6 linked regions of the Ovis aries genome follow. The protein of the gene in region 4 interacts with the protein of the main gene of each other region in a pairwise test. Links are inferred from orthologs where the notes say so. Each region holds a gene or a part of one and is shown on either strand. Other genes may lie near its edges. The genes, in order: TRIM27, ATXN1, MYL6, NUDT21, CEP126 and RBM48.

The links.
Region 1: the proteins of NUDT21 (region 4) and TRIM27 interact in binary tests that used the Homo sapiens proteins (3 or more experiments, as listed by UniProt). The two-hybrid records come from large-scale screens. The link is inferred for Ovis aries from reciprocal best matches to the Homo sapiens genes NUDT21 and TRIM27.
Region 2: the proteins of NUDT21 (region 4) and ATXN1 interact in binary tests that used the Homo sapiens proteins (3 or more experiments, as listed by UniProt). The link is inferred for Ovis aries from reciprocal best matches to the Homo sapiens genes NUDT21 and ATXN1.
Region 3: the proteins of NUDT21 (region 4) and MYL6 interact in binary tests that used the Homo sapiens proteins (3 or more experiments, as listed by UniProt). The two-hybrid records come from large-scale screens. The link is inferred for Ovis aries from reciprocal best matches to the Homo sapiens genes NUDT21 and MYL6.
Region 5: the proteins of NUDT21 (region 4) and CEP126 interact in a two-hybrid assay, tested with the Homo sapiens proteins (2 studies listed by BioGRID and IntAct). The link is inferred for Ovis aries from reciprocal best matches to the Homo sapiens genes NUDT21 and CEP126.
Region 6: the proteins of NUDT21 (region 4) and RBM48 interact in a two-hybrid assay, tested with the Homo sapiens proteins (2 studies listed by BioGRID and IntAct). The link is inferred for Ovis aries from reciprocal best matches to the Homo sapiens genes NUDT21 and RBM48.

The regions. Positions count from the first base shown.
Region 1 is NC_056073.1:29,117,412-29,121,547, forward strand, and holds the start of TRIM27 (zinc finger protein RFP), read left to right. Parts: upstream 1-1,336; 5' UTR 1,337-1,698; coding exon 1,699-2,118; intron 2,119-3,287; coding exon 3,288-3,383; intron 3,384-4,136. UniProt on the Homo sapiens protein: E3 ubiquitin-protein ligase that mediates ubiquitination of various substrates and thereby plays a role in diffent processes including proliferation, innate immunity, apoptosis, immune response or autophagy.
Region 2 is NC_056073.1:39,589,813-39,594,062, forward strand, and holds the start of ATXN1 (ataxin-1), read left to right. Parts: upstream 1-1,450; 5' UTR 1,451-1,731; intron 1,732-3,921; 5' UTR 3,922-4,031; intron 4,032-4,250. UniProt on the Homo sapiens protein: Chromatin-binding factor that repress Notch signaling in the absence of Notch intracellular domain by acting as a CBF1 corepressor. Binds to the HEY promoter and might assist, along with NCOR2, RBPJ-mediated repression. Binds RNA in vitro.
Region 3 is NC_056056.1:163,379,480-163,383,429, forward strand, and holds the start of MYL6 (myosin light polypeptide 6), read right to left. Parts: upstream 2,801-3,950; 5' UTR 2,762-2,800; coding exon 2,759-2,761; intron 2,489-2,758; coding exon 2,461-2,488; intron 1,597-2,460; coding exon 1,453-1,596; intron 1,253-1,452; coding exon 1,079-1,252; intron 988-1,078; coding exon 910-987; intron 606-909; coding exon 577-605; 3' UTR 1-576. Other genes in the region: MYL6B (myosin light chain 6B), read right to left, coding at 3,370-3,398, 3,553-3,630. UniProt on the Homo sapiens protein: Regulatory light chain of myosin. Does not bind calcium.
Region 4 is NC_056067.1:23,688,617-23,692,116, forward strand, and holds part of NUDT21 (cleavage and polyadenylation specificity factor subunit 5), read left to right. Parts: intron 1-1,161; coding exon 1,162-1,362; intron 1,363-2,228; coding exon 2,229-2,292; intron 2,293-3,500. UniProt on the Homo sapiens protein: Component of the cleavage factor Im (CFIm) complex that functions as an activator of the pre-mRNA 3'-end cleavage and polyadenylation processing required for the maturation of pre-mRNA into functional mRNAs.
Region 5 is NC_056068.1:6,579,997-6,584,270, reverse strand, and holds the start of CEP126 (centrosomal protein of 126 kDa), read left to right. Parts: upstream 1-1,474; 5' UTR 1,475-1,730; coding exon 1,731-1,858; intron 1,859-4,274. UniProt on the Homo sapiens protein: Participates in cytokinesis. Necessary for microtubules and mitotic spindle organization. Involved in primary cilium formation.
Region 6 is NC_056057.1:10,622,525-10,626,800, forward strand, and holds the start of RBM48 (RNA-binding protein 48), read left to right. Parts: upstream 1-1,476; 5' UTR 1,477-1,488; coding exon 1,489-1,599; intron 1,600-2,125; coding exon 2,126-2,316; intron 2,317-2,322; exon of another isoform or gene 2,323-3,020; coding exon of another isoform or gene 3,021-3,094; intron 3,095-3,795; coding exon 3,796-3,941; intron 3,942-4,276. Other genes in the region: peroxisomal ATPase PEX1, read right to left, coding at 1,004-1,129. UniProt on the Homo sapiens protein: As a component of the minor spliceosome, involved in the splicing of U12-type introns in pre-mRNAs.

The sequences.
Region 1 (4,136 bases), on a different chromosome or scaffold from region 4:
CTTACCAACTGAACAACTGTGATGAAGATAAGCAGTATGCATAGAATGTGACCCTGGAGTCATTAAGTTAATTTTTAGTCTAATAATCCAATAAATATTGAAATCCTTTCATATAATTACATACAAGGCATAACAGCAATCCAGGAGGTCTGGAGAGAAGTCTCTGTCCTCACAGAGTTACTGAAGTATCGGATCTGTTTCTTTGAAACATTGTGTAAATAGGTTAGAGAAAAAGAGTATAAACAAGGAAACTGGTGGAATAGGTCACATTCAACCAGTTACTAACTCATTTAAAAAAGATTTGTAAACTGACATTGTTGAAATCACTTAGTTCAAAATATAACAATGGAAATTAAAATAAACACAGGCAAGGCTGTCCAAATTCAATTAAGTTTAGAGGATGAAGGACAATATCGAGAAAATAGCAAAGGAAAACAGGAAACACCAAAGTAGGGATGGGCGAACAACGCAAAAATTTTGTAAGTTTGTTGGATAATGAAAACAGCCTGTGTTACTCACAGGATTATCATTCCCCCTATACTTCGGGAAGGAGCAGGCCTGTTTAGTTCTATTCAGTACAGCTCTAGGCACTAGGTGTTTTATTAATGAGCAAGCATGTTTAAGTTCTATTTAGTAGTTCTAGGCAGTGGGTATTTTATTATTTTAATGGTAAACCTCCTTAGGGTTAAAAAGTTGTACGGAGCTGGGGTATAATTACTCCCGTTTCACCAGACAGGAAACTGAAGCTCAGAATGGTAGACCACTTTGCTTAGGCACAGTAGGAAGTAGCAGAACTGGGCTTGCCTGTTTCTGTCACAGAAATGTTTTCATCTAATAATTAATCCTTTCTTTTACGAAACGCAACTGCGAGCGCCCGTCAATGGGGTTGTTTGATAAAGTTCCTCACAGACTGGGTGGGGCTGAGTCGGCTACTCCCAGCCCTCTGGCCTACCGGGGAAGCCAGATGTCTCTTCTTCCCACACCAACACAAAGCCAGCTTTCTCTCGCCGCGGCAGAGGCCTGAGCACCAGAGAAGAAACCCAACAAAAGACCCGGGATCCAGGCCCAAGGCCCAAGGCTCGGCGGGGGCGCCCGGAGCGTGCAGGCAGGGGTTATCCTGACCCCGCCGCACCCCGTGGACACCGCCTGCCTCTAGGACCCGTACCCAAGGAGCTTCCGCCCGCGCGTTCCGCCCCCGCCCTGGCGGCGAGGCCTCCCGGGTTCCCTGTGAAAGAATCCGTCCAGGCCTGAGGCCGCAATTTCCAGCCTCACGAAGGAGGTCCGGCCCAGGCCCCGCCCCCGGGCCGCCTCTTCCGCTCGCGCAGGGGTGGGGTCTGCGCGGCCGCTGGGATCGGCTCCGACGCGGCCACGTTGTCCTGCGCGTTTTGAGCGCCCGGCTCCGGGAGTCCGATCGGCGGCGATCTTGCTGTCCCTTCACATAGTCGCTGGGCTCGGTGGGGCCGCGGTACCCCCATACTCCCTCCGCCCGGCGCAGCGGCTCAGGGAGCGGCCCGGCCACCCGCCGTTCCAGCGCGCGGGCGCGTCTGGGATCGGCCCGGGAGGCGTCGCCCTCCGTCAGCCCGGCTGGCCTTTCCGCACCGCCCAGAAACAGCGGACGGGAGGGAGCGCAATCGAGTTGGGCTCCGCGCTGGGCTGGGCACCGGGGCCCATGCCCGTTCGCCCCCGCGGGCCCGCGCCATGGCCTCCGGGAGCGTGGCCGAGTGCTTACAGCAGGAGACCACTTGCCCCGTGTGCCTGCAGTACTTTGTGGAGCCCATGATGCTCGACTGCGGCCACAACATCTGTTGCGCCTGCCTCGCCCGCTGCTGGGGCGCGGCGGAGACCAATGTGTCGTGCCCGCAGTGCCGGGAGACCTTCCCGCAGCGGCACATGCGGCCCAACCGGCACCTGGCCAACGTGACCCAGCTGGTGAAGCAGTTGCGCACAGAGCGGCCGTCGGGGCCCGGAGGCGAGATGGGCGTGTGCGAGAAACACCGCGAGCCCCTGAAGCTGTACTGCGAGGAGGACCAGATGCCCATCTGCGTGGTGTGCGACCGCTCCCGCGAGCACCGCGGCCACAGCGTGCTTCCGCTCGAGGAGGCGGTGGAGGGCTTCAAGGTGAGGGCCGGGCGCGCGGGCCGGGGAGGGGCCGGAGCGCGAGTTGGACAAAGGGAGGAGAGAGCCAAAGGGGCTTCCTTTTTTCCGCCTAGAAAATGGCTGAGCCGGACGTGTGGTTCACAGCCGTCATTTCCTCTGTCCGCTCCAGAGCCTCGGCACTCAGATTTGGGAGGAAAACCTGTAGCTGGTGATGAAGCCAGAAGTCTCCCCACCCTCATTGCGTATGTGCCTCTGTGTTTACCCTCTCACGGGCACATTATACATGACGGCCCATGGAGACCCCTCTTGACTGTATATAAGATATCTGTAAAACCACGTACGCAGCGACAAGCTTCAGAGACGCTCGCATTCCTGTTGGCTCCTAGATGATCTCAGACAAAACACAGTCGGACGTTGCCCGGCTGTATTCACATCAAATAGATGCCCATCACCTCTCCTTTCCCCCAGCACTTCCCTGTGCTCCGTCCTCTTCTAGAACCTCCCGGAAAAGAACAAGTTTCTTACTGCCTAAGTCATTTAACCACTGTGCGACTCATAGGAGATAAGACTTAATGAAGACTGAGTGAAATAAAATGCTGTGTGGATTCCCTTGTGCACCAACAGATTTGTACAGCTCAACGATAGCATGGAAATAAAGTATTAAATATAAAATAGTTGTAAGACAACATTCAAGGTGTGCACATAATCTGTGTATGAGGACTGCAGAGAACATCCACACAATTATGTACATGTGTAAATGTGAGTATGTTCATGCAAAATTATTCACTGAACATTTATGGTGCTTTCAAAAATACCATTTTACTCACACCGAACACTATTAGGTTGAGAAGGTGGTGTTGGTTCATGTCACACCAAGGGAAAATAGGAGAAGTTAAGTCCTTTTCTCTCCTTACCTGTCCCTGAAAGCTCGACAACTAAAGCCTTCTAGTTTATTCACCTTTCCACTAAGCCATGCGGTATCCTTCCAAAGGCAGGTAGGTGACCCACCATTTAAGATACAAACTACCAAAGGAGAGGTGTGGTGCCACAGTGATGGCAGTGTGATCCAAGGACAGGCTCTCACCAAGAACTTGGCATCGTGAATGTGGGTTACACAGGTGATAAGCAGAAGAGTCACACTGCTAAGGCCTGCCTTATCTTGAGCTGTACATCTGTTTTTGCTTTTTCAGGAGCAAATCCAGAACCAGCTGGACCACCTAAAAAGAGTGAAAGACTTAAAGAAGAGGCGAAGGGCACAGGGAGAGCAGGCGCGAGCTGAACTCTTGGTGAGGTTCCTGAGAATTCGTAGATAATATCGGTTCTTCTGGTCACTCTCTTATATTGTAAGACTTGTAAACTTCCCTTAACCTTGTGCAGTCAGATCACCCAGAACTTATAGGTACGGGTGGAACAACCTTACATGGCAGTTAAGAATTCACCTGGAGAACCAAGGGATTCCCACATCTGGGGGGAAAAGGATGGAATAGTCAACTTTAAACCCTTGGAGATCTGACCTAGCAAAAGTTTAATCTGCTAGCTTTGTGCAGATCAGGGTTGATTCTGGTGAAATTCTTGAGCATTGGTTAGCAGCCTTTTGTATTGTTCTGCAGACAGATGCTGGCAGTGGCTTTCCATAAACTTGACTGTTGCTTCTTGTTGGAATGTTCTTTTTCTTGGCAATGATTCTATTCTGAACTTTTCTCTTTGTTCCCTTCTCCTAGTTTCCCAAGGCCTTTGTGGTAGGGATATTTGGGGGAGAGGGTGGTTGTTCTGGAAAAAATAGTCCCTTACCTTTCTGTAAAGGACTAGAGAGTAAATATTTTTGGCTTTGTGGCCTATACCTCTACCACAACCAGTCAGCTCCCTTGTCATAGCTCAAAAGCAGCTAAAGACACCATTTAAATGAGTGGATCTGTTTCCCAATAAACTTTTACTCCAAGGGAGTAAACACGGGAGTTTGCTGACCCTTTATTCTGAAATAAGCTTTTGTGGAGTCTCTCAGTGGGATAAGTGGTGGAGAAGGAAGGACAGATAACCTT
Region 2 (4,250 bases), on a different chromosome or scaffold from region 4:
TAGTCATACTGGACATAGGGTCCACCCTAATCCATTAAGACTTTATCTCAACTAATTACATCTGTGCATGCTAAATCACTTCAGTCGTGCCTGACTCTTTGGGACCCTATGGACTCCTCTGTCCATGGGATTCTCCAGGCAAGAATACTGGAGTGGGTTGCCATACCCTCCTCCAGCAGATCTTCCCAACCCAGGGAGGGTTGAACCAGCGTCTCTGGTGTCTTCTGCATTGTAGGTGGGGTTTTTTTTTTTTTTTAATCACTAGCGCCATCTATGTGGAGAGACTCTATTTCCAAATAAAGCCATACTCCCTGCACTGGGGACTAGATGTATCTCTCCGGGAACAAAATTCAACCCACAACAATGGGAACTCTCACGGAGAACTGACTAGTGAGGGGTGCCACATAAACGGAGCGATAAAAGGAAAACAGTGACATGTGAAATTGTAAGTGGAGGTCAGACGGGTTTGGGAGTAACAGGAAATATTAGATAAGAGACGCTCTCATTTAGGAGACTCTTTCCATCTGTGCTTACGGCCCTGATTTTTTTCTTTTCTGTCAGAGTTAAAAAAAAATTGTATAAATAAAAAGAATAAGAAAATAGCACTTCGCTGACTCACACATTGGGCAGAACCACAAACTCCTGTGATAATCAGGAAAGACTTCGCAGAAATGTTGGTGCTTGGGTTGGATCCTGGAGGATGGGAATAAAAATTGCCCTGCAAAGAAGGGCTTCCCAGGTAGGGAGAAAGTATATGGAAAAGCACAATGTTATTTAGGCGATCCACCCTTTATGCCTTAAGTAGGGTGAAGAGTCTCTGTAAGGAAGGCCCAGATTGTCTGCTTAATCTCTGTTACTAAGAAATGGTATTAAAGAAAGGAAGGGGCAGAGATGTTTCTGGTTTTGATAAATGCACAAATCAGCTCACAGTAACCTGAAAGAACACTAGGAGCATCTCTAAGGGGGAGTTCGTTCTTGGACACATTTGCCAAAGCACAAATATGGAAACCCCGCCCTCAGCCAGATCCGAAGAAATCAAAAGGCTGATGTGGTATAAATTCCTCTGCCCTGATTGCATAAAGGAGATGTGCCAACATTTTTTTCTCTGATATATTCCTTTCTGCACAGAGAGCTCAACTGGATTCTTAAAAACCTGATCGTGAACTGAGATAGGCAATTCTGAATCACCACCAGGATCTAGGAAAATTAACTCCTCACTGATCTTCCTAGATAAGCTCCCAATCTCGCTGCCTCTCAGATCAGCACTGGGATCTGGCGAGGTTTCTGCCACAGAGCAACTCCCTTTTTTGGCATAAGAATGTACAGGATGCCAGTAAAGTTCACGCTGGGTCATCTAAGTCTCTTTAAATGCGCGATGATTCATTGCTGGGGGTGGGGGCGAGAGGAGTGAGGGGGAAGGAAGTGCTGAGCTGAGAGGCGGAGCGAAGTCATTATGAAATTGACTGCAGAAAAGCTGGCGCTGGGAGTGCTGGGGTCACATGGTCTTACTATTGGTATTTCAGCTACAAGTTTTAAACCAGAGATAGGGGGAGGGGTTGGGAAGCATCACCTTGAAGCTTGATCGGCTTTCAGAGGAGATGCCTCCGTTGATGGCTGGCATGTTGATTAGAATTACAATGGGGGTATTAATTTCTCTTTTTATCTGACAGAAAAAGAAAAGTTCTCCCATGACAGTATGGCTAGCAGAACAAGAATCTGGCTGTAAGTGGTGTAAGTGAACCGTTTGTCTTTTTCTGCTTGATTTACTGGCATTCTAGCTGACAGGGTCCTCCATTCTGTGCGTTCATTTTTGTACTTAAAAAGGGATTGTTTGTAATTTACAGTTGAAGTCTGAGTGCTATTAGTCTGCTCGGTCAGCATGGATAGCAGGAGCAATCGCTCCATGTCAGTGCCAGGGCGCAAAGCAAATTTGGATCTTCAGTGGTCAGTCTTGAGAGCTCCCCAAAGTTACCCAGCAGTTAAACTCTGGAGCGGCCCTGAAGCACAGGGCTTCTGCAAATAACAAACTGCCTGACAAACCCTGCTGAAATCCTGACACGGACAGTTTCCTCTAGTTGTTTATGTCAAAAGGCAAAGTTTGCCAATGCATTTTTCTCTGGCTCTTCCTCTTTGGGGTAAACTTGGTAAATTCCTCATAAAATAATTGTCTTAAACTCTGACCTGCATTTGGATCAGCTTTTCCTAGCCAAAACTGACTCAAGAAAAACAAAGGCACGGTGAGAGCTTATAGCTATGTATTTTAATGTCTTGAAGTCAGAATAACAATTTGATGGCTATCATTGTCCCTGATCTTAGTTTGAAGGCACCACAAGCTTTACCTTCACAACCCATCAACTGCCTCTATCTTAAGTGTAAACAATGGTGGCTTTGGGCTTTGGTTTTAATTTGGAAAATGTATTTCTTTTGAGGAAACAAAATGCCAAGTTGTTAATGACGTGTTTTTAATAGATTTCCAAATGCTCCTGGCCAATACTGAGCAAAGTTCAACTCACTCATTCTGAGCCTTAAAATGTTGTTCAATTTCATGTAAGAAGAGCTATGTTCTATAGATGCATAAAACCACAAATTCTGTTATTTTATAAGTCACTGCAGTACATTCAATGTTGATAATAGTTATATTGATGAAAATGTATCTAGGTCTTGCTTGCAAAATAAATGGTAATGGTTAAAATTCATCTCATTTCCTTTTGACATATGCTATTGTAGTAAATATATTAGAAATTGTTTAAAAAAAAACCCACAGATTTCCTTTTGGCTTTGATTTGTTTTCTAGGGAAGCAGTAACTGTATACTTTTCATTATCCACACCTAAATGGCCTAAAGCCATTTCTTATTAAAAGATGTCACCCTCAACCATTCAGCTGTCACTCCAGAAAGCGTGTGCTTTCTAAAACACAGAACGAGTTTTCCATCAGCTTCCCAGGGTGGCAAAGTATCTGAAGCCTGTCCCTACCCCACCCTGAGAGACTGACTCTTAACAAATTTTTAGTCTAACATAAAGCCTAACAAATTTTAAGCCTAGCATATCTCAGGATTATGCCTTTACCAACAGCTTACTCTCAGAGATATTTTAATAAGGGGTAAAGTGCATGTTGGGCTTCCCAGGTGACTCAGTTGGTAAAGAATCTGCCCACAATGCAGGAGACCTGGGTTCAATCCCTGGGTCAGGAAGATCCTCTGGAGAAGGGAATGGCAACCCACTCCAGTATTCTTGCCTGGAGAATTCCATGGACAGGGGAGCCTGGCAGGCTACAGTTCGTGGGGTCCCAAAGAGTCAGACATGACTGAGTGACTAACACTCACTTTTCAAGGGCAGTGTTATACACTGCAAGGGGGGAATCTCAGGAAGGTAGAAAAGTAACCAAATCACCTACTACACTACTGCAATAAGATCTCCAATTATGGTTCTTAGAACTAATTCCTGCACCTCCCCAGCCCCACTGACTTTACTAGTGCTGTGCATTAGAAGCATAATGGACACATGTCATTGTAAATCTTATAGTAGGCACACTAAAATGTAAAAAGAAACAGGTAAGTTAATTTTAACAATATTTTTATGTAACCTAATATATGTAGAATATTTTCATTTTAACATTTGATCAATATAAACATTGAGATACTATATGAACTTATGTGTATATATGTGCATGTATGTACATGTTCTAAGTCTTTAAAATCCAAGGTATATTTTACAATTACAGCCCATCTCAAGTGCTTAACAATCATATTGGACAGTACAGACCTATGCTAAAGCACTTGTTTTTGTTTTCACTGTAGACAGAATCTTATTTAAAATTGCCTAATATGTGTACTATTAAGTCATAAACTGTCAGCAGATGTTTAAACACAATGATTTTAATTTCACTCTTGACCATTGCTGATGTCACTTTCATTACCCAGAAGCCTGTGCTGCTACAGTCTGGTGGAGGGTCAAGAAAGCTGATTCAGAAGCATGTCTTTTAAGAGTCTCCATGCCAAGGACAGAGCCCAGTGACTTCAGTTTGGGTGTGGTGAGTTGACCTCAGAGTCTATTGTGTGAGTGGTTTTCACTTTTGTTTTTAGTTTATTTTACTTTTCTGGTCTCTCAGCTTTATTTGGAAGTGCAGTCTAAGGAAAGCATATTGGTTTTGTAAGCACGCTATGGTTTGCTCAGATTTTTAAATGATATATATAGGCTACCACTCTCCTTATAATACCATGGTTAAAGAACTGTCAGTGTTTCCACCAGC
Region 3 (3,950 bases), on a different chromosome or scaffold from region 4:
CCTTGGGGTCAGTTTGCAGTACTCTCGACCCCCAGCTCCCCTCCCACCAGCTGTTAGTTCCCCCTGCCCCACCCCGAGCAGCAAGAACACAGCAGAGGCAGAAGAGTTCCCAACTACACCTACAGCTACTGTCAGCCACTGGGGGGAGGAGGAGACAGAGTTTTGGGTTAGGGTATCTCCAAGCTGCCCAGCGGAAAGAAGAGAAGACCTACAGCAGCACGGTGGGGCAGGCAACCCACCCTCCCTGCCAACCACGTGATCCTGAGCTAAAGGATCACCATGAAGCCAGACGGGGGTAGGTAGGCTGGTGTGAGTTCCCAGACACCAGCACCCTGGAAGCCAACCAAACCTCAGACCCAGTTCTAGGAGAGGAGGAGGTGCCACACCCCCAGGCTGTCTGCCTCTTTGAGGAACCCCTCCCCTCCCCAGTCAGCTCCATGCAGAGGCATGCCGGGAAGAAGTCAGATGGTAGTAGAGGAAGGCAGGGGCTAGAGAGCAGAGGCTGGGGAAAAAAACACTGGGGAGGTCAACTAGAGAAGGGGGGCTGGGAGGAGCCGTACCCGCCCCATGGGCCCGTCACCCCGACAGGATATGCCTCACAAACGCTGCAGGAAGGAAGAGACATTCATGGTGAAGACAAGACATAGACGTGGGGTGAAGGGGTCAGGCAGTGAGGAACTGGACATCCATTTTTACTTCCCATCCCTTTCCCACCCTTCAGGCCACAGGAGCCCTTCCTTTCCTGTCACACCCCTCTGGCCTCCCATTCCTGGGCGGGGCTGGGCCCTGCCCCTTGCCTCCTGTCACTTTTAGGAGCCTGAATCCAGGGACAGGGAAAGCCCTCAGTGCGGTGCATGACCTGCCCCCATATGGCTGCTTCCTCCGTGAGACCGCCGGTTCATCCCTCACCTTCATAGTTGATACAGCCATTGCTGTCCTCATGCCCTGCCACCAGCATCTCTACTTCTTCCTCTGTCATCTTCTCACCTGCAGAGAGGAAGGAAGAGCGAGCATTCTGGATTTGGGTGACACCGAGGTCTCTCAGGTGGCACCTCAAGAAGAAAGGGCAGAGCCTCACCCAGTGTGACGAGAACGTGCCGGATCTCAGCACCCATGACGGTGCCGTTCCCTTCCTTGTCAAACACCCGAAGGCCTTCAACATAGTCCTCATAGGTGCCCTGGTCCTTGTTCTTGGCCACAGTCTGCAGCATGGGTAGGAAGTGCTCAAAGTCCAGTACCTTCACGTTCATCTCTGCCGAAAAGGAGGTGGAAGCTAAGTCATATGTGTTCTCAGGACTGGGGGTTAAGGGGCTCCCACTCCAGGCAGGAGAAATCTGTGGGATTTGCCAGACAAGACCCGCTCGTGTTTGGGGCCTAGGAAGATAAAAGGAAGCTATTAGCTGAAGACTGCGGGCCCCACCACAGTGCAGAGTTGTTCTTAAGGACCCTCACCATCACTCTTGGGGTTCCCCAGGACTTTGAGCACCTCGGCGTTGGTGGGATTCTGGCCCAGGGCCCTCATCACGTCCCCACACTGACTGTACAGGATCTTGCCATCCCCCGTTCGGTCAAACAGCTGGAAGGCCTCCTTGAACTCTGAGGATCCAGATAAACATCAGTATGGGACACACAGATGTTAACCCAAACCCTCCTCCATGGTCCCCACCGCCCATTCAACTTTGATCATGCTGAGGAAATCAGATATTTATAACACTGTACACCCAACCCCTGTAAGAGGGATCCAGTGTCCCTTCCTCCCAACTCAGGTGTCTCACATAAAGACCTGGCCTTCCTCAACGCTTAGCAGAGTGGTTCCGGCCACTTACATACCCTCTCCGCCTGCAGCAAGCCTGCCCAGCCTCCTCATTACACGACTCAGGGCAGGAATTTGCCACCGCCCTGTCTGGGCCCTGTCCTTATAAGGAAGTGGGAGCAGCGGCCTGGGACTGGGGTCATCCCAGCCTGCCACTTCTCACCCCTCTAGTACAGGGTCCTTTCAGAGGGTACTGCTACAAAGAAGTATCCTCAGCAAACTCCCCTGTTGCACTTTCACAAAAAAACAGGTCACTGCTGTTTACAGCCTTTACAATTCCAAGCTGAGGGGACAGGGTAGTTACCACAGGAGGAAAAGAGGCAGAAGTAGCTGATTAAGGAACACAGGAGCACAAACAGCTTAATACACCGTCCCCAAGCCCCACACACAGCAGGCATTAGTGATCAAGTTGTTTCACACAGCCACATCACCTAAAACTCACCCAGTGCTTGGGGATCAGATCTAGAGTAGAAGGGAAGGGAGGAAGAAAGAGTGAGAAAAGAAAATGGAAGATCCAGAAGGAAGGAGAAGGGAACCCACCAGGTACTCCCCTGGGGGTGCTAAAGAGATGACAGGTGAGGGTGAAAGAGCTAGAGGGAGTGTCCCTCTCCCTAACATGACCTCAACAGAGGTCAGCGATTACCTACCTGCGGTCTGATCCTCGGTGAAGTCACACTGCTCAGAGAAGACGAGAGTGGTCAGCATCTTAACTCCAATACCCCCAGCTTCCGTCCCAGTCCCAAGAACTCTGAATCACAAACTCCTATTCCATGCTGGGGACTCGCTTCCCAGCAGGGTAGGATCCCAGACACTCCAACCCCACCTCCAACCTTCGAGGGCCTCAGGTTCATTTACCCGCTACTCTCTGCCTTCTCCCCGCCCCCTCTCCCCGGCTTCCCGCCTTTCGCCCCAAATCCCGCTCATCCTCTCGGCCCCGGGCCCCACCATCTTGACGCTCAGCTCTACGGGACCTTTTCCTGCAGTAATGGCTCCGGTTCCTGGCCCAACCCTAGTCTTAGTACGTCCTAATGACGTCACCCCAGCTGACCCAACCAATAGGGATCCTGGCCCGGGTTTATGCAGATGACGCTACTATATTAGTAATAAAGTGGGCGGGGGCCAACTGGTGTTCAAGTCTCCAGAATAGCCCTACCTGGGGCACAGAAACTGCAGAACAAGGTGGAATGGGGCGCAAGGAATCTGCTCCTCCGAGCAGCGAGAAAGTCAGAGGAGGTCGCATTGGTGGGTGCGGGTGGGAAGAGGAGCCCTCCCTTTCCCTCCCCCACCTCTAAAGAAAGCAAGAGTCGGAAGCTAAGGGAGGAAACGTCTCTTTATTTTGAAACAATAGCCTCCTAGTGGCAGGAACGTGCTTTTGCCTGGTGGGAGCCCAGCGTCCGACGCCACTGCACCTGTGGAAAAAGATGAACGTTGCCAAATCCTGCCGCTGTCGGCGCAGCAAGACACGGAAATGCACTTCCTTGCTTTTGTACGCAGGCAGAGGGACAAGAAGGAGGCTTGCCTCCCAAGGCGCAGTGAGAGTGCCGTACCTGCATTGCTCAGACGCTTAGGATGTGCTTCAGGAAGGCTGCAGAGAGAAGAGGCAAGAGGGGCTTCAGAAGCTGGCCTGATGATAACCCATCTGACTTTAGATAATTCAGGCTTCAGGATGCCTCCACCCACATACCTCGGGCCTCCTGCCTCCCTCTTCCCCAGTCGTTTCTGCTCCTCTGGCCCCTCACCTTCATAGTTGATGCAGCCACTGCTGTCCTCATGTCCTGCCAAAACAGACTCCACCTCCTCTTCAGTCATCCTCTCTCCTGGGCCCAGACACAGTGTTTTAGCCCCTGCCTTCCCTCCCTTATCAACCCATGCCTCTTTCTTCTGGTGGCACCTCCTCTTCTCCCACCCTGGAGACTTGCCCATAGTAACAGTCCCCCAAGAGAATTCCCTCTTTGTAGTGGGCATGCCTTGAATGTGTCTCTGAATCTTGCTTTCCATTTCACCTCAATTATAGGTGGTGAAAGCTTTGACAGACAAGGAAACTGAATTCCAGAGGATTAAAAAACAGACCATATCATAGAGTACAGCCATCTCTTCCTAAGACTGAAACTCAGATTTCCCACCTCGTTCCCTTTCC
Region 4 (3,500 bases):
CATTCTTACCCAAAGATTTATAATCAAAGGCTGCTTTCTGTAAGTCTTATGATCAAAGGGTTACAAGGTGATACCTGTGATGAAATAAGAGTTTTTAAACTATTTTTAAGGAAAAAATATTTACTAGGCAAGAAGAAAACTTTTCAATATGTTATATTTTGAATACTTGATAAAAAAGTAGAGAATGTTTATATTACACCTAGTCAGCAAAAGATTCAAATGAAGAGAAGGGAAGAATAAAGATACTGAATAGAAGAAATGCAGAAGGCTCAACATCTTAGAAGGGAAAGAAAAGTTCATCTGAAGAAGAAAGTTACCAGAAAACTCTGATGATAGTTGACTGGGACAAATAGAAAATAACTGGGGAGATTATGGAAAGTGGTGGCTCAGTTTGTAGAAAAAAACATCAGCCATTAGCACCCATAATTAATAGAATTTATGATTAGATTGGTAGAGGAGCCCAAGGGCACATTAGCCAGGTTGACAGTGTTAGCATCTAAAACTAGAGGATTGCCAGTTATTCAGATAGCCACTACTCTGTGCATTAAGAGCTTTAAGGATATTGTCATCTATACTTGACCTGAGCTGGTGGCTCAGACGGTAAAGCGTCTGTCTACAATGCGGGAGACCCGGGTTCGAGCCCTGGGTTGGGAAGATCCCCTGGAGAAGGAAATGGCAATCCACTCCAGTAGTATTGCCTGGAAAATCCCATGGACAGAGGATCCTGGTAGGCTACAGTCTATGGGGTCGCAAAGAGTCGAACACGACTTCACTTCCCTTCACTTCACTTCATCTATACTTGACAGTTCAAGTAGGAAGTAACAGCTTGAGCTAATGAAAGTTCTGGTTTTAGAGGCCAGAGAGCTAGATTCTAATCTCTGCTGCTGCTGCTGAGTCACTTCAGCGTGTCTGACTGTGCAACCCCAGAGATGGCAGCCCATCAGGCTCCCCCCGTCCCTGGGATTCTCCAGGCAAGAACACTGGAGTGGGTTGCCATTTCCTTCTCTGCTCTCTTATTAACTAGTTGTTTAACTTTGTTCAAATTCTTTGTCTCTAAGTGCAATATATATACACTTTTTACCAAGGTTTCTTTTATGTGATTGGTGTCTGTCCTACTAATTTGTGGTCTACAGTTCTCAGATGTCTGTCTTTGGATCACAGGTACCCTCTTACCAATTACACTTTTGGTACAAAAGAGCCTCTCTATGAGAAGGACAGCTCTGTTGCAGCCAGATTTCAGCGCATGAGGGAGGAATTTGATAAAATTGGCATGAGGAGGACTGTAGAAGGTGTTTTGATTGTCCATGAGCACCGGCTACCCCATGTGTTACTGCTACAGCTGGGAACAACGTTCTTCAAATTGTAAGTGTCATTGGAAACGAACAACTTTTAATAGGATGGCTGTTTTATGCAGCTTTAATACAGCTTTAGCTTTTAGCCATTTGTCTCAACAAACATGGCTGTTACTGGAGTCTTGGAAGAGAAACTCAAAAGCATTTTTTTTCTCCATTGCAGTGTTCATTTATGAACACTGTGGTCTAACTAGAATGGTCTAACTAGAAATCTGCATGTTTCTCTGTATTGTTGATGCTAATGACTGGGCTTGAGAGAAGCCCTATGAAACAAACGAGTCCAAGTTCAATTTCTAGACGTCTTTGAAGCATTACTGAGAACAATTGATATTATTTCTTGCTTAGGATCAATAGTGTTTCCTGTTCTTAAAATGCTTTACATTTTTATAGATTGTTTAGTTTTCTCATTTACATTTATAAATCTCTCGGTATGTTTAGTCCACAACTGTTTGACTAGATTGTACCAAAAAGAGTGTTCTCAAATACTTAGTTTGGAATTCTTAAAAAATGCTGCATTCTTCTGATCTAGAGAATGTGGGTCCACTGCTTTCTCAGCATTTCTAGACTCCATTATCACTAGATAACTTCCAAAGAGAAAAAATTGGGATGTACTGGTTTCCAGCAACTATGTGATGTTTATGTTCTGGTACATATTTTAAGACTAGGGTTTGTCTACTGTGAAACTCATGAATGGACATGAATTCCGTTTTCTAGCACATTCTTCCCCCTCCATTTGACATTTGTTTGCTTTAATTGCCTTATGTAACACCGAAATGTGTTACGAAGCTACTTGATAGAAATAGTAATTATTGTGTTTTTCCTGTTAACCAAAATTGTTAATACAAGTTGAAAGCTGAAATTTTAACCTTTATACAGGCCTGGTGGTGAGCTTAATCCAGGAGAAGATGAAGTTGAAGGACTAAAGCGCTTAATGACAGAGGTATTTTTCTGTTTAACCACTTTGATGATTTCATTAATGCTCATCTAAATACCGTCAACTTAATGCATAGTCAGATTTTTGTATGCCTTGAAAAGGATGAGTTTATTTTAAATATTTAGTTTTCTATAAATAAAACATAAATTCGGAGTGTTAGTACAATGTTTATTTTCTGTAAGTTGAACTTATACTTTGTCATAGCATTATTTTCCATTGAAATAGTTGATGTAGCAATAATGGTTAATAAAACAACATTTACTGAGTATTGACTGTTAAGCAATGTTCTAAGTGCTTTACATGTAATAATTTATTTAAACATCATAATAGTATTAGGAAGTGGGTGCTATTAATCCTGTTTTACTGATAAATTAGGGCACAAAAAGTGCAAGTAGCTTCCTTGATGTTTTACAGCTAGTGTGTGGTGAAGCTGGAGATTTGAATGCAGGTAATTTTATTCCAGAGTAGGTGTTGGAATTTTGACAGGAGAATGATTCCTGTTACATACCTATTTTCATTTTTGCACATACCTTTTAGGCTTTGCCCAGGTTGTTACTTTTTAGAAGCTCTTCTAATGTCTGTCTCTAAAGACTTGGGGCCAGATGCATATAGATGCTGGAGGTTTTTGAGATTGTAGGCTGTTTCATTAATAAATAGTTTTCTTTCTTAGCATGCAACCCCCGTTAGTTACAAAACTCGTACATATTCTGTGCAAAATCCTTGGCAAATACAGAAAGGAGACAAAACTAAAACCTGTATTTCTTCCACTTTGACTTGTTTTTTAGTATTTCTAAAATGCAGTGTTAGTCTTAAATATTCTGCTGTGTTTGAACTTTCATTTATATACGATAGATTGAATCTACCTCAGCTTATATACGATAGATTGAACTTACCTCAGCTTTTTCTTATAACTCCACCAAAAAACATTAAAGGGGTTTTAGAAAGATAAAAGTCCAGTAAGTTGATGGAATGTAAAATGAGACTGTAACAAGGAAAAAGTGTTTGAAGGTAGAAAGCAGATGAGCGAATCATAATTGACTTAGCCAAAACCTCAGCCTCCCAGAAGGGCAGTCAAGGACCCAGCACTCTAGAACATCAGAAAAGCTTAGGAATTGGGGGTACTTGTGAAAGAGGGGGTGTGCATGGACTGAAAGCTGAATTGACTGGCAGTGTGCATAGGATTATTGATGTACCTAGATCATCTTCCCTACTTT
Region 5 (4,274 bases), on a different chromosome or scaffold from region 4:
CTGACTCTTTGCTACCCTATGGGCTGTAGCCCACCAAGCTCCTCTGTCCATGAGATTTCCCAGGCAAGAATACTGGAGTGGGTTGCATGCCCTCCTCCAGGGGATCTTCCCTACCCACATATCCTAAGGCTGCTGCATTCCAGGTGGATTCTTTACCACTGAGCCACCAGGGAAGACTGCCCTACATTGCTTTTTCTCTCTCAAATTGGCTCTAGAGAAACAGACTTGTGATGATAGCCAGTGGGAATAGAATCAATGTAAATTCCTGTGACTAAGTCAGTTAAAAATTTGCAAAGATAGCTAATCCTCCTAGTGTACACAGTTAGCCTTTCTTTGCCAAGATTACATATTGTGTCCTCTTGGCATGGTCCTGAAGAGGGCTACGTGCTCTGTGTTTTAAGTAAAAACTCAATTTGTTGTGGCAGTTTTAATCAGAATACATTCCAGTTTGAATCATTGCATCCAACTTTGCAAAAACTCTGTTTTAAATAGCTTCAACTGGAAAAGTTTATTATTTTGAACTCTAAAAATGAACAAATTGATTCACAAAGGCATAGGCATTTGAATGGTGGTGAGTGATTTTCATTTGGTTTATACATTCTGCTTCCAATATGGGAGGTTTTTCCACACACACATTAAAAAAAACGCTAAAATATACTCAGAATTCACATGTGTTTTTACAATGAATTCCAACAAAAAGTTCAGCCTTTTTTCAAATTTTTTTAACTTGCAAAAGTTCTGAACTGATGGCTCAAAAATCCATTCGATTTTCCATACCTCCTGAAACAGTTTCAATATGATGATCTCTTTTGGCATGTCTTCCCAGGAGATTACTAAATTAAATCTGCACTACTTTCCTGGCCGCCGATGCTTTGATGGTCTATTTCCAGAATCTGGCAACAAGGCTGGCACCATTAAAAGTCTTTGAAATGCAGACCTTATAAGTAGGGAAATGGCAAGGAAGACGACTTGCAGACGGAATGGCAGAAGCATCAGGGAGGGAGAGATGGAATGCAGAGAAAGGAAATTTCCACTCCCAAAGCTTTTTAAAAAAGATGGTGATTGGGAACAGTGATGCTCCAGAAAGACAGAACTTCAATCACACAACAGCACTCGGCAGTTAAACAACAAATTCTACCCTGAATTACCCCCGGAGGAAATAATTTCAGAATCCCCACGGTGGCTTTGCGAATATCTGTGGATTTTTGCATCTCGCTGTCTTTCATCACTCTTAGTAACCCCACGAAAACAGCCTCATAAAAGCGAGGTGGAACGGAGTCAGGTTCCGAGGCACAAGTCAGCACGTCCTCCTGAGAGGACTTGTGTCCCCGAGGAGGCAAGCTTCCTGGCCGCCGCCCGCGGGCAACTCGGGGGTTGGGGGGCGGGAGGCGGGGCACAGGGGAGAGGTCCGCGCCTCCTATTGGCTGCCTCCAGGGCACCGCCCCCAAACCCTGGTCGCCGTCGCGAAGGACGCGGCGTCGGTTGCTTGTCAACATGGCGGCGGCGTCGCCACCTCTGCCGTTTCCAGGCAAGGTCGCCGCTGCGGCAGCTGCCGTCGACACCACAGCCGAGAGCGCCGCTGTGCGGGAACCGGAGCTGCGGCGGCCAACTTTCCCGCCTCAGTGACGCGAGGCTTGAGAGACGGAGTGCTGGGAGGGCCGAAGGAGGCAGCGGGAGCTGCCATGAGGGAGGCTCTGGGGGCTAGCCGGGAGGCGGCGCTGAGGTGAAGGATGCTGACCAGGAGGCCTGGAGCCCGGAGCGCGGTGCCAGGACTGGGCGCTGAATCCTCGGACACCCACGTCAAAGCCCCCCTCAGCCCTCGCTTGAGCGGCGGGCGTCACCGACCTGGCGCCTACCTGTATCCTTCCAGCCGTGGTTGCCTGGGTGGCGGTGTTGGAAGTGGGGAACCCGATCTTTTTTCTGTTCTGTTCCCATTATCACAGATGCTAGATGAGAGAAACCGGCCAGTCATCTTAATGCGGGTATTTGCTTCGGCAACTGTCGCTGCTCCCCTTAAACCTGAAAATACCATCTTCTATTCTAGGACCACTTTCCCGGCCACCTTGTTATCTCCCCCGTTTTCAACTTTGCAGTAAAAAAAAAGAAAAAAAATTTTAATGAGTTTTGAAATGGGTAAACGTGTTCTCTGGGGATTGTTTTCTTGTAGAGTTAGGCCATTATGTTCTTTGCTTCATATTATCCATCTCCTGATAATTCATGCTGCTTGGAGAAAAGAATGCCGCAAGTAAATAAAATGTTTTGGTCTCCTGAAATAGTCCGTCTTAACAGTTAACCTAACACTTCATTTATCTTACAGAGCTGCTAAAGCCTAACATATTTGGTTAATTTGTTTTGTTTTCCATCCTCTGCCCAGTCTGTTGTCAGAGAGACAACAGACAGAAAATGAGAAGCAAAGGACCTGGAGCCTTTGCACAGGTTTATCACTGACTTGTCCCTACCTAAGAATTGGTCTAGCCCACCTTTGACATTATTATTGGTTGCATTGTAGAAAATTGAAAGTGTTATACAGTTCTGTTTTCCGAATATGTAAACCATGTTTATTCCTTCAGAGAGTGTTATGACAATTAGAGTGTAACCTTTGTATTCTCAGAGGACTTGGTTGGTAGTGGTGATGCTGTGTAATCATCTTCATTCTTGTCAGAGAGTCTCTGCTTTTCAAATTAATTCCCACTTTCTTATTGTCTCCCAGTTCTGGGAGTTGCACTTTTAAAAGCAAGTCAACAAGCAATTTTCATTTAGTGCCTCCTTTTTTGGCTAGGTGCTTGGGATACAACTCTAGTGAGGAAGACAGGTACATACAAAGCTTAAATAATGGTAAATATTCCTCTTCTGATCATGCTTCCTCAAGCTTGTATCCCATCTTTTCTTGCTTTAGTTGACTTTTCAGAATGCTAACCTGCAATGACAGCTTCTAATTCTTTTCATCTATTCATTATTAACTCCATTCACTTTGGCTTTTGGCCTTGCCGCTCCTCAAAACTATCCTGATTCAAGGTGTAATCTGAAATCAACCGGATTGTTTTCAGTATGGATTTGATTCTGCCCCATTGACATTGTGTTTACTTGAACCCTGAACTCCTATTACACTGACCCTGATTTATCTGTAAATCAGAAAATAGGGAAGCACTGTAAGTGGCTCATTGACAAGGTGTATCTTTCCATCATTTTCATTAGTGAAATGATCATAGACTTAATATTTTTAAATTTTTAAGGTGTGAATGTTGATACAACAAAGGAAATAGTTGTAAAATAAATTTGGCAGTACCTCAAATGAACAAAACCAAATAGATATAATTCCAGAATTATAATGTTGGTTTCCTATAAAGAAATGTATTACTAAAAATTTACCTAAATACTAAATATATAGTTAAAACTAAGAAAGTTGTAAATAATCATTTCAATAGATACCCTGAGCCTTTGCTAAAATCCAACAACTTTTGCTAGTGTATGTGTGTGTATGCATCTATATGTATTATATATAATATACATTTTTTCCTAGTTTATACATGTATGAAAGTGAAAGTGAAGTCGCTCAGTGGTGTCCGACTCTTTGCGACGCTGGGGGCTGTAGCCTGCCAGGCTTCTCAGTCCATGGGATTTTCCAGGCAAGAGTACTGGAGTGGGTTGCCATTTCCTTCTCCAGGGGATCTTCCCGACCCCGGGATCGAACCTGGATCTATATAGTTGCCAGTAAATCAAGAATATCATTGTTACTAGTTGGAGAAACACTTAAGCGCTTGTGTCATATTGTACGTTTTCAGTGTCTGTAATGTTTCATATTGGATACCTGGTACAGAGTAGGTGTGCAAATTTATTAATAACTAAATTTTAAAAAATGAGCTGTGGACTTAAAATAAGAAGTGGCTTGGTAAAATTTCTACATGTGACTTCTGAATATGAATTCAGTACTCAGAGGCTGTATTTCTCTACTCGAATTGGAATTTCCTAACTCTAAAAGCTATGGAAGAACAAAACTTCATGAAGTTTATCTAATTAAAATTAGATGAAGTTCTATAATTTCAACTTCTTAAAACAATTCAAAAGAAAATAGAATAAAATTTATTTTCAAAAAAAGGAGGGAAGTTCTCTCATGTCCCCTTCACAGTATGCCTCCTTTTTTCTCACAAGTATCTCCAGTCTTTTCCCCTTCCATTTTATCCTAGCGTCCACCTTGCCTCTCTTTATTCCCTACCCAGTTTAAACCTGTTTTTAATTATCTACACATATTCTCTCAACAACATCCTTGGTTTTTT
Region 6 (4,276 bases), on a different chromosome or scaffold from region 4:
TTACATCCCTTACATTAGCCAGAGGATTCTTTACCACTAGCTGTCACCTGGGAAGCTCCAAGAGACTCTCTATAGTAAAAGCAACAATGGCAGGATCTATTGAAATTAACATGCTTTGAAAGACTGGGGAAAAACAATCTAGAAAAGTAGTTAAAGGCAAGTAGCTAAAATGGAGAGGTGGGATATTTAAAATTATTGCAAACTCCTAAATATTTCCTGCAAGGATTAGCCCGTAGTGGGTACTGTGCATCCAGGATTTTCAAAGATTTCAAGTATTCTTTTTGTCCTCATAGCACACTCAAACTGGTAGACCAGGTGCCCCTATTTTATAATTACGAAACTAGGGATGTGGTTAGAACTATGAACTACCACAATCACAATGTCCAGAGGGCAACTAACTGCAGAGGTCCAAGTATGCATAATCCCACTGCACGTTCCGGGCACACCTAGGAGGTATTCCGAGCAGCGGAGACGCAGCGAGAACCTTCATCTTATTAACCTATCTCGCTCGCGGCTCAGTCTCTATTAATTTACAGGGACTCCTGGGCCACAGCCAGGCAGGCGCACCTGGAAACCACTGGCAGGAAAAACGTTTTTTACGATCGAAACAAAACAAAATCCGCAGACAAACCCGACTTCTCCAAAGCTTTTCCAACCTGGAGTGAGGAATAGCTGAACTCAGAGAGAAAATTATCAGGATGTTTGAGAGCCCAGTTTCACCGAGTGAAGACCTGGAATACGTACGGCAAGTTAACGCAAAGGCCCGGGGCTGCACCCGACGTGGTAGGGCTGCAAAGACCGCCCGGACCGGCCCTGCTCCAGAGCGGCCCACGTTCTGGCTGATGAACAGGTCGGCGGCGCGGGGAGAGCAGCCCGCGTCCCGCCGTCGGGAGACGCCCGAGCGGCCGCTGCGTCCCGAAAAGGCCTGGGTCCCGGGCGGCCGCAGACGGCCCCCGAGGAGTCCCGAGTCCGGGCTGGGGAGTCCATGGGGCGGGCGCGTTACCTGGAGCAAGTGCAGCTGGGCCACTAGGCGCCGCGGCAAGTGAAGGAAGCAGTCGCGCGTGCTGGTGAAGGCCACGGTCACGGCCGCCCCGCCAGCAGCACCCGCCAGCCGACCGCTGCCCCACATCCTCCGCCAGCGACGGCCCCGCCGGAGGCCCACCCCAGCGGACCCGGGCTGCCTGCGGACCGAGGGTGACCGGGCCTGCTACGCTCGATCGGCCCCGCCCCCAGGCCCCGCCCCTCGCGCCCGCCGCGCCTCGGGAGCTGGAGCGGCAGGCCAGCCCAGTCCGGCTCGCCGGGCCTCTCCGCCGCGCCGCTGGAGGGCGGCAGCTCGCTCGCCGCCTACTTGCTCACAGGAAACGATGGCCAACCCTGTGGCTCCTTCAGCCAATCTCGGCGCGCCTTGACCCATCCCTCTCTCTGATTGGGTAATCAGGAGGGCAACAGGCGGATGTTGTCGTCTCTGCGAGGGCCAAAGCCGGCAAGATGGCGTCCAGTGGAGGGCAAGTTGGGGGCGTATTCGATCACCACGTCCAAAGGGCTGTGTGTGACTCGAGAGCCAAGTATCGGGAGGGCCGACGGCCTCGCGCTGTGAAGGTAAAGTGATTTTGGTTTCATTCGTTGTCGTCGGTAGCTTTATGTAAGCTGTAGCTTCACACGCCCAGTTAATGTAAATAAAGTCTTGAAAGGCTGCGGTCACATCCATTTGCTGGAGATGAGTGTGAGGGACGCCGGTACCCAGGTAGCAGATACTCTCGCGGCCTCTTTAGTCAACTGTTGGAGCTCCGTGAAAACGGGGTATGTGTTTTAGTCGTATCTTCCGTGTTTACAGTAGTGAATATTTAACTCTTTCCTGTAACATTTACCGAGGCAGCTTCTGAAGACATGTCGATTGGAGGTAGTCTATTATGTGCTTTAGCTCGAAGCCCTCACATGTAGGGTGACTTATTGTTTCTACAAAGAGAAGGGCAGATTAAAAACAAAAACAAAAACACCTTTTCTGCAGACCTGAACAGAGTAGTTCTTGTTTTCAGGGTTTTTGTTTGTTTGTTTGTTTTGAATAGTAACAGGTTGTCCTAGGCTTGTTTGTGAAACACATTTAATGCGTGTGCATTTCTTTTAGGTCTATACAATCAATTTGGAGTCTTGGTACTTATTAATACAAGGAGTTCCTGCCGTGGGAGCAATGAAGGAATTAGTTGAGCGATTTGCTCTATATGGTGCAATTGAACAGTATAATGCTCTAGATGAATACCCAGCAGAAGACTTTACAGAAGTTTATCTTATTAAATTTCTCAATTTACAAAGCGCAAGGTAATATACAAGTCAGGCAGTGTCTCATTTCCTCTGTTCCCATTGCTATCATTTTGGCCTCCCTCATTCTTTCATGAATTACTCAGTAATCTAACATGGCTTTTTATTTTTCTCCAGTATTCTTAATGTAAGTGTTAGCTTTATCAAAAGTCTGTCCATTAGGTCATCCCCATGTGTAACCATTTTCTGTCTTGTAGTGTGGTAGATTAAAAACTGGGTTTGGACTAAGTTTTCAGGTTCCACTGCTTACTAACATGATGACCTTGGACAAGTTATTTAATCCCATTAAACCTGTTTTCCTGTCCTATAAAATGTGTAAGGATGAAATGAGATAATCCATGTAGAGGGCTTAGCAGATGCCTCCTGCTCAGAATGCGGTAAACAACATTAGCTGTTAGGTTTCTTGTTATGCACCTATATGAATTGACCCCATCTTTTTTTTTTTTTCTTCTGAATAGCATAAATCCTCTGCTGTAGTAAGGGAAATATGAAATGCCTCATCTTATATTCTTGTCACTAATTTGCTTCAAGACCCATCCCTTCCCTGGCTATTACAATTCACATTTTCTGTGCTACAAACAGTACTGGGGTATATGGGTCATATATTGTTCTCCAGTTGCTCTTATGTATAATCTCACTGCCCTAACCAACTTGCCAGCTCCTCATGGTTAGGGAAGTATATTTCCTTATTGTGTATTCATTCCATGAAGCTTTTGCATCTCCCACACCCCTTTTACAGTGTGACATGTGGATTTGAATCCTGGCTCCACAAACCAAGGTGAGCTTGGACAAATAATCTCCCCATGCCTCAGAGTCATCATAGGGATGTTGAGAAGTGTGATTTCAAGTGAAGCATTTAGGCCACTGCCTGGCACATGGTAAAATCTCAGTGAATATTTCTTACCATTTACCTTGGACACAGAAGTACTTAATTTCGTAGTAATTCCTGGCCAGTCATAGATGTTTAGTAAGTATACATTAAATGAATACTATCCTCTCCTTTTCTCATTTACTGTTATATATTTGTGTTTTCTCCATTATTAAATGTTTATAATTGTAATATTTTTATTAATTTCTTATCTTTGAACCCCATTATAGGAACACATTGTGCTAAAAAGGCTAAGCTGGGCATGAGCTAATTTTTGAGGGCCTTTTAACACAGAATCTCTATTTCATGACCACAGATTGTGTACCTCAGGCCAACCAGCTGAATCTTATGTTGGTTAAAGGGAGTCTGGATATGTTTGGAAAACTTAGCTTAAAACCTATGAAGACTCTTGGGAGAGGGGGAAAAAGGCTCTGAAAGAATATGCAGTGGATCAGTAGGGTCAATACCATTCACGTGCAGAGCATCGCAGCTCCGAAGCTATAGGATTTATGTATACAACAAAGTCTGGACTTTGCTTTTTAGATCAATGCATTGTATGCTGGTTAAGCTTTCACCCTAAGTAAACCATGGTATCGTGAATTTCTGCTTAGGATGGCCAAGAGAAAAATGGATGAGCAGAGTTTCTTTGGTGGCTTGCTTCATGTGTGCTATGCTCCAGAATTTGAAACAGTTGAAGAAACCAGAAAGAAATTACAAGAGAGGAATGCTTATGTAGCAAGAATGACTAAAAATAAAGGTATGTAAAGCCTACTACTAAACACCTCCAATGTGTCAGGCATTTTGCTGAGTTTACCCTCCTAGAGTTTTCCCAGTCTAGTGACTATAAGCTACGAAGTTTTTTCTTTACAGAATGTTATGTAATCTTGCCTGGGAAGGGATAGATGTTATTTCATGGAAGATTCCTGCAGGATGAGAATGGTGGCTGAGTTCTGAAGGGAAAGTAGACATTACCCAGAAAGGGAGAGGAACAGATGGAAAGATGGGCCAGAGGAATAAATGAGCGTCATGCATTTTAAGGAACTGTGAGTAATATAACCACAACACAGCAGCTGACATGTGAATCTGAGATAA